Danio rerio: one gene and its partner. The protein of the gene in region 2 interacts with the protein of the main gene of each other region in a pairwise test. Links are inferred from orthologs where the notes say so. Each region holds a gene or a part of one and is shown on either strand. Other genes may lie near its edges.

What was found.
Region 1: the proteins of bccip (region 2) and rpl23 interact in binary tests that used the Homo sapiens proteins (3 or more experiments, as listed by UniProt). The link is inferred for Danio rerio from reciprocal best matches to the Homo sapiens genes BCCIP and RPL23.

What each region holds. Positions count from the first base shown.
Region 1 is NC_133178.1:32,233,304-32,237,280, forward strand, and holds the start of rpl23 (large ribosomal subunit protein uL14), read right to left. Parts: upstream 2,801-3,977; 5' UTR 2,785-2,800; coding exon 2,772-2,784; intron 1,781-2,771; coding exon 1,697-1,780; intron 832-1,696; coding exon 703-831; intron 1-702.
Region 2 is NC_133187.1:47,448,984-47,453,081, forward strand, and holds the start of bccip (protein BCCIP homolog), read right to left. Parts: upstream 2,801-4,098; 5' UTR 2,739-2,800; coding exon 2,607-2,738; intron 2,488-2,606; coding exon 2,413-2,487; intron 2,326-2,412; coding exon 2,245-2,325; intron 1,076-2,244; coding exon 986-1,075; intron 678-985; coding exon 490-677; exon of another isoform or gene 241-489; intron 128-240; exon of another isoform or gene 1-127. UniProt on the Homo sapiens protein: During interphase, required for microtubule organizing and anchoring activities. During mitosis, required for the organization and stabilization of the spindle pole.

The DNA of each region.
Region 1 (3,977 bases), on a different chromosome or scaffold from region 2:
TAACTAAAAAATTATTTATTTATATATATATATATATATATATATATATATATATATATATATATATATATATATATATATATATATATATATATAAAAAAAAAGTTATCAATAAACGTTGGTAAAATTAAATAAATTTTTTTTGTTTTCTCCTGAATTTAATTCAAACTGTACTTTGTAATAAATTGTAATAACTTAAATTTAGATGCATTCTGTATAGTTCTAAAGATGTTTGTGACCAAGCCCTTTAATGGACATAATGGATTGATAAAACCGGTTCAAAATGCACAAAAATAGTTATATTCTGGTGATACAAATAAAAATATTAATTGTCAAAATGTTGTACGCAATTATGCGGTGCACTGCATAGGCTATAGATTTATCATAGTCATTACAACTGAGTAATAACTAGGTATTATCCTTAAACCTACCCATGAATCTAACCTTACCTCCCATAGTTACCTCAAATAATAAAGTATGTTCTTATGAAAGAACTCCAGTAAAACATACTGTAAAGTGCAACTTAAAAAGATTGAGCTTCCCTTTTGTCATTTACGTAGTCAAACCTTTACCAGTTTATTAAATTTTGAACTTGTCTTAACTTCACATTCACTGCACAACACTTCTCGTGTGGTGTATGACTGTCTAATGCTAGCCTTTCACTTAACATCTATAATAAAGCCCAATTGTGAAAGCACTCACCCTTTTTCCTGAGCTCTGGCTTGCCTTTCTTCACTGTGGCCATAACCATGTCACCCACACCGGCGGAAGGCAGCCTGTTCAGACGACCCTTGATGCCTTTGACGGAAATGATGTACAGGTTCTTGGCACCTAAGTGAGAGAAAAGGCAGAGTTGAGTAAATGAACTTGTAATTGGCATATTCAATGCCGTTGAGCTAAGTTCAGCATGTCTGCTGACCCTCAGCTGATTGGAAATAAGAAAAAGCAAAGATTTGTTCCATCACGGATTGAGATTAAACAGCATGTGGAGACTGCCATCTCACCCAAGAGTAATGGGGTTCACTTTTTCCTTCCACGACAACTCACCCAGCCACTGAGCAGACGAAGCAAGTGCTTTTAAGAAGGACAAGAAGCTCAAATAATTTACAGACTGAAACCAGATTGAACTGCAAAACTTAAAGTAATTGGCCTTAAGTAATCTTCCGAACTGCTGCTTCAACAGCACTTCAATGTTATGCTAGAAACTATACACAAGACAAGCATTCACACCAGCTCTTGTAAAAATTAAAGTTTAAATTAAAATAGTCAAAGCAATACAAATGTTACTGTTGGACTAAATGTACTTCAATTAACTTAAAGGATTTTTTAAGCTGAAGTTTCAACAATTTTTTAATAAGAACTTGAAGGCCAATTCAGACTACAACAGACCATTTTAGTTGACCAATGACTTCTGCAAGAACGTTCTGAATTTGGTTCCTGTTTAATCAGGTAATGTCTGAAAAGTGACATGCTGTGACATGGTGACCATCCATGTTTGTTTAGGTCTCAAACATCCGTCACTGTGGTTTGAACTGTCCAAGTTAAGTTATGAAATGTTCATGCCTTGGTTTCTAACAATTTCAAACCATTAAAAATATGAGTTTAAGAAGAAATATAAACCAAGCAATACTTAGAAAAATGAAAATCTGGAATAAATTATTTCAGTTGGTCTCATCAACGAAGGCAAGTTTCTTACCTGTGTTGTCAGCGCAGTTGATGACCGCTCCCACTGGGAGACCCAGTGAGATGCGGAACTTGGCTCCCGATGACCCACCACGTCCTAAACAGGAGGACCAAAATTAATAAAATTCACAAAAACAGCAAAACCACCAAAATACAGACTAGGTTTAAATTTTAGATAATACATGAATAGCACACTGGCTAAATTAACCTGACTCCATAAATCTATCAAAACACTTGATGTTTTGATTTTGCATATCTACAACAAAAACTTGCCAAAGTAGCAACAATTCATTCATTCACTTCCAATTATGAAATAAAACATTGAAAAAAAAAAAAAACAATTGAAACTGTCAACACCAGTAACTATAGATGCATTAAAAGTTAAATGAAAACGAATGAAGACAACTTATTCTGCCTAGACTTGTCAACTTGATAAATTAAATGACACAAGCTTTGAACTTGTGCAGAATAATGTCTGGTACGGAATTATTTCCCTAACTTACACCTTTAAGTGTGTACCTGTCGATACAGTTGCAAGTGAACAGACGTTTGCTGCCGGACAAGCTTGACTCCACACAACACAAACGCAATATTTACGATGACAACATTTCAAGGAGAATTTCTGGTGTGGAAGCCCGTTGTGCACTGGTTTAATAGTGCACGTTTACACGTTAGCCTGACATACAATCGTGCGACTACACTTTCCACCATTCAGACGAGCGTCTACCGGTTTCACCGCATATTGTAGAATTAACTACTCACAAATGCTGCTCTTCACTGATTTTAAATGGCTGCTATCATAAAGCTCTACTCCAAAACTTGCTTACGAACAAAACGGTTCAAATATGAAGAGTTCCAACATCCCACCACTGGCTCCACGAGCTTCACTCTGCGTACTTAGCAAACATGGCTTCTCTTGCTAGCGGAAAGTGTACATTTCTGTTTTAATCCAAGTTAAAATTCAGAATTGACATCAATATGGGTGAAATACACATCCTCCATGATCATATAAACCTGTGCTTTACTTTAGGGGGCTTAAATGCTCCTCATTTTAAGGATGATTGCGGATTTTCATGTGTGTTTCTTACCTCTCTTAGACATAGTCGCTGAAAGGGAAAGAGGAAGAGACAGAAAGGAATGATGGGATATAAGCGTGCGCGCACCACAGACTTCACAGCTTCCGGCGTCACGTCATCGTCATAACTAAAGCATCGCCATCTAGTGTGTCGTATGTATGACTTGATTCACTTCAGCATCTCATGGTAATATTACAAAACTAGAATTTTCTAAAAGTGCCAAACTCAGTTCCTGGAGGACTGCAGCTCTGCGCAGTCTAGATCCAACCCTGCTTTGTTTGGTACACTTACCTGGGGGTTTAAAGCAAGTCTGAAGGACTTAATTAGTTTGATCAGGTGTGTTTAATTAGGGTTAAAGTTGAACTGTGCAAATCTGCAGCTATGGAGTCAATATAGGGCCATATATATATATATATATATATATATATATATATATATATATATATATATATATATATATATATATATATATATATATATATATATATATATATATATATATAAAGTGCAAAGGGAAAGTACATTTTTGAGAAATAAAAATTTGGTTTGTTAACTGCAAAGGGAAAAATTCAATTATTGCATATATATTGACTACATAGCAGCCCTCCAGAAACTGTTTGACACCTGTGAATCCAAATAAAGGAATACATATTGATCAGTAATCAATAAAATTATTTTTCATATTCCATAGTGTGGTATGTATTGTATTTAAAAAATAAATAAATAAATATATATATATATATATATATATATATATATATATATATATATATATATATATATATATATATATATATATATATATATATATATATATATATTAAATGCCAATCATGACATTCCAACGTATGTTATTCCCAGACAACAACCACTGAAAATGTATAAATGTATATATGTGCGTGTTGAATGTACTGTATGTATGTGTGTGTGTGTGTGTGTGTGTGTGTGTGTGTGTGTGTGTGTGTGTTTACTGTTATTGACTGCTTGGCACCTTTTGGTGACTAAATCTTAAGAGCTGTTTGTTGAAAAAAAAAAAGAGTAAACTTTTAGTGAACTTTACAATTAGTTAAATAACCAGTAAAATTTTACAGCTCAGATCAATATTATGTATCTAATTGTTTACTTTTGTGGCATTCAGCTGTATAGGCTGGACAATGTACATGCCTCCAGTTGTTTTCACAGAATATAATAATGTTAGAATAATGAGAAAGGGAAAAC
Region 2 (4,098 bases):
TTGATTACAGCGATATGATTGGCTGACGCTTTCGTCGGCGCTTGAAAAGTTGAGCTAGTCCCAACTTCTGCAGCGAGCAGCACCTCGGAAGTGGCGCCGACAGATCCACAATGCAATTCGGCAACGCCTGACGTCACCCATTCAAAGTGATTAGGAAGCATTGACACTGACGCTCCGTGTGAATGGGGCGTAAAGGTATTGAAACTGACACCGTTGCGATTTTTAGATCCTGTGGTATACCATATTACGTAGTGTATGAGGGTGACAGGCCGGCCGGAATGTGTAAAAAAAAAAAAAAAAGTCGTTATCATATGGACTTGTTCCAAAGAGCCGACCCCGCAACCATACGGGACTAAGGCCAAAGAAGAAGATATACATATATATATACACTTTTGAAATCATAAAATATATCAAACTAAAATGAAATCTGCACTGATATGTGGTAATAGTGAAGCAGGTGTGTGCGCTCCCTCTATTGGGAACTCTTACTGCAGTTGTTTGTGCAGGGGCAGAGCGATCTGCGGCGGGACGTTGACGAATCTCTCGCTCAGCAGGAGCCCTACAGACTGAGTGTTACCCTGCAGGAGATTCTCCATCCGCTCCTGCACATCCGGAGTGCTGCACTTCACACACTGATCCAGTATCATGTCCTTCAGCTTCTCCAGACACTCCACACCCTGATAAACAAACAATAATAATCACACTTTAAGCCAAATGTCAAATTTTCCAAGATACTCACCAATTAAAAAACTGAATTTGCATGACCTTTTATATTCCACATGCTTTAATATGTTCAAATAACTTAATATTAACTTTGTTTTAGCTTGAATATCATTTTGCATGACTTTAACAGCCACTACACTGTGAAATGCGAAATACTCATGCAAAATATGATATTCTAAAAACTCCAGTGGGATTGTTGTAACTCAGATCAATCCTACAGAAAGTAGAGTGTGTGTGTGTGTGTGTGTTATGATTGTCTGACCTGTCTCTCGGTGAGGTTCACCATACTGATGAAGCCAAACACCTCGTCCGGGTCGCCCTCATCATCACTGTCCTCCGGTACTTCAGCTTGCTGGAGCAAAACACACACATAAACTATAATACAGCAATATCAGAGCAGAACTACAGATGTTCATTATTACTGTTAGTGAATATTATACAAATGAGTTTTAAATATATTAAACATTTACAGTAGAGCTGCACGGTATATTGCTCAACATCAATATTCAGTGTTGCCAGATTGGGCGGTTTTGAAAACTGCTATTTAGAAATAATTTATTAGTTTAGAATATGTGAAATGATTCTGTAGGGAAGTGAATTATCCATAAAAATGTCAAAAAATAAATTAAAAGTAAAAATAAAAGTGAAATAAACTGTTTTAGGGATTTCAGGGAGTGTTCAGGTTCATAATTTCAATAATCAAATGTTACAAATGCTAAATTTTCTTTGCCTGAATACTTTGAACACTGTCAGGCCCAGGGGCGGACTGGCCATCTGGCAATTCTGGCAAATGCCAGAAGGGCTGGACCAATTTTTAAATGTGGGTCGTTCAGTTTTTATTTAAATGTATTGTTTTTACGTGGAGGCAGCTTTTATCTCTTGCTAGATGTGATATTATGATGATGATGTTAATAATTATAATAATAATAAATGTTAAGCATTTGGACCAATTATGACGGCCGCCTGATTTCAAGATGGGCTGACCCAATCCGAGGTTACCCGGACGCAATCAAAATATGGCAAGAATGTCATTATTTCACCATCTGTACATCAAAATAAATAGTGAATGTGCGTGTCCGTGGGTGGGGCTATGCTGGTGTGGTAATGTGGGCTGATGTGGCTACAGTGCCAGGGCTGAATTTTTGTCCCAGTCCGCCCCTGGTCAGGCCTTAAAAACAGATGCAAATAGTAAACCTTTACTACATTATAGTGAACATGCTTGTTAAAAAATGTATGTAGTGAATATACAAAGTACATATTTTCTCTAGTAAGATGTATTATTTGTGTTTATATAAATATGTTTGATCATTTTAATCCCTTTTTCCCCATTTACAACTTCTGTTTGTTCCATTACTATTTTATTTTTCCGTTATTTACATTATTGTACCTACTTCTTTTCTTTTTGGCTCTTAATTTAAAAAGTACGCTACATGGACATAAAATAAATCTAAACTGAATGAAATACACAGTTATGACCAGTAAAATTTAAGCTATTTTGGGGGGTAAATGAAAGTGTATTACCCTGATGACACTGCCGATGTGGTTCTGCTGGATGATGATGTCAGTGAGGTCAGAAGTGTTCACGTGACACTTCAGAAACAGCTGCAAAACAACAACACACATTTATGTCTGCATTCATAAATTAACACTCATATAATCACCACATAATCTGCAATAAACCGACGTTACCTGTTGAAGAAGGGTTTTGATGCCGTGAAAGTCGTTGTCAGAGATCGTGTGTGCTTCGAAGTCCACAATAACCTCCTAAATGCAGACCAAAACACGTGTGTTGGTCATAAAACAACGTGTTTTTCAGACAGAGCCAGCATGGCCTGCACATCACGACATTTCTGCTCGCAAAAACAGTTCGGATAGGAACTTACCTCGTTTACTTCTTCTTCTGAATTTTCGCTGTCGTCGTCGCCAGAGTCTTCCAGACCCTCGTCCGAGCTTTCGTCGCTGTCTTGTGGATTTTGTCCAGTTTCAACAGCACGCCTTTTGGCAGATGAAGCCATGCTGCTTCACTAGTGTACAGGAAACAGACACGAGCTCGCGCACGGCGACGTTTTGTGTCGTCTACATGCTAGGAAACTGAGGAGTCTAATCGGACATTTTGGCTCATTGTAGACACAAAGTCGCGGGCGCAAACACGCCATACTCAAGATCCAAAATGGCGTCTTTTCCAGCTCACGATCTTAAGAAGCAGAAGATACCATATTTTTTTACAGAGGGGTGCTGCATGAAAATGATTTATTACTTTTGAATAAACAATTGTATTGATTTAAGTGCCAGATAGTAATTTTGGTTAATAAAGAAAGATAAATATTGTCGTGATGTTGGAGTTACTTCAGAAATGAATTATATATTACGTAATTTTCAAAACAAACGTCGATGGTACCTGTTAGAACAAACCTTCGATGAAATAAATAAGTTTCTCTCTTACTTAAGTTTTTGTCTTACAAGTCAAGATAATATATTCCACTAGTAACTTTAATGCGTCTACCTATTAGTCTATTCGTTATCGGCCTATCTGTCCATTCATTCATTCATTCATTCATTCATTCATTCATTCATTCATTCATTCATTCATTCATTCATTCATTCGTTCGTTCGTTCGTTCGTTCGTTCGTTCGTTCGTTCATTCATTCATTCATTCATTCATTCATTCATCCATTTCTTGCCTGGTGAAAGGGGTGGTTCTTTTTTTCTTTTTTTTGCAGTTATACGCCTCAGTTTCTATTTAACTATAAGATTTAAATACTGCATTTTAGTGATTTTTTTTTTGTTGTTGTTGCTGGATTAGCTAGTCAGATGTCATCATAACCACACTTTTTGATGTACAAAAAATATTTCATAAAAACTTGCTATAAAGAAAAAATAAAACAAGACTAATTATTAAAATACAAATTTATTACATCATATATCATTAGAAAAAAATAGCAATCTGTTAAAGTTTTAAAGTAAAAAAAAACTGCAGCCTACTGTCATTTATTAGACAAAAACAAACTGGCCAGCACATTTAACTTTTCTGTCACAATTTGGCCATTTCAATAAAAAAAAATTAAACATAATAATAATAAAAATAATAATAATAATAATAAAAATAATAATACAATAATAATGAATTCTTTCCCAGAGATGGGTTGCGGCTGGAAGGGCATCCGCTGTGTAAAACCTTGCTGGATAAGTTGGCGGTTCACTCCGCTGTGGCGATCCCGGATTAATAAAGGGACTAAGCCGACAAGAAAATGAATGAATGAATGAATAATATACTTTTTACCAGTTTATATTTGGCAACATTTTAGTTTAGGTCACAATTCACAGTATTAAAAAACACTGAAACTAACACTACTAGCTTAATAAACCAACTAGCTG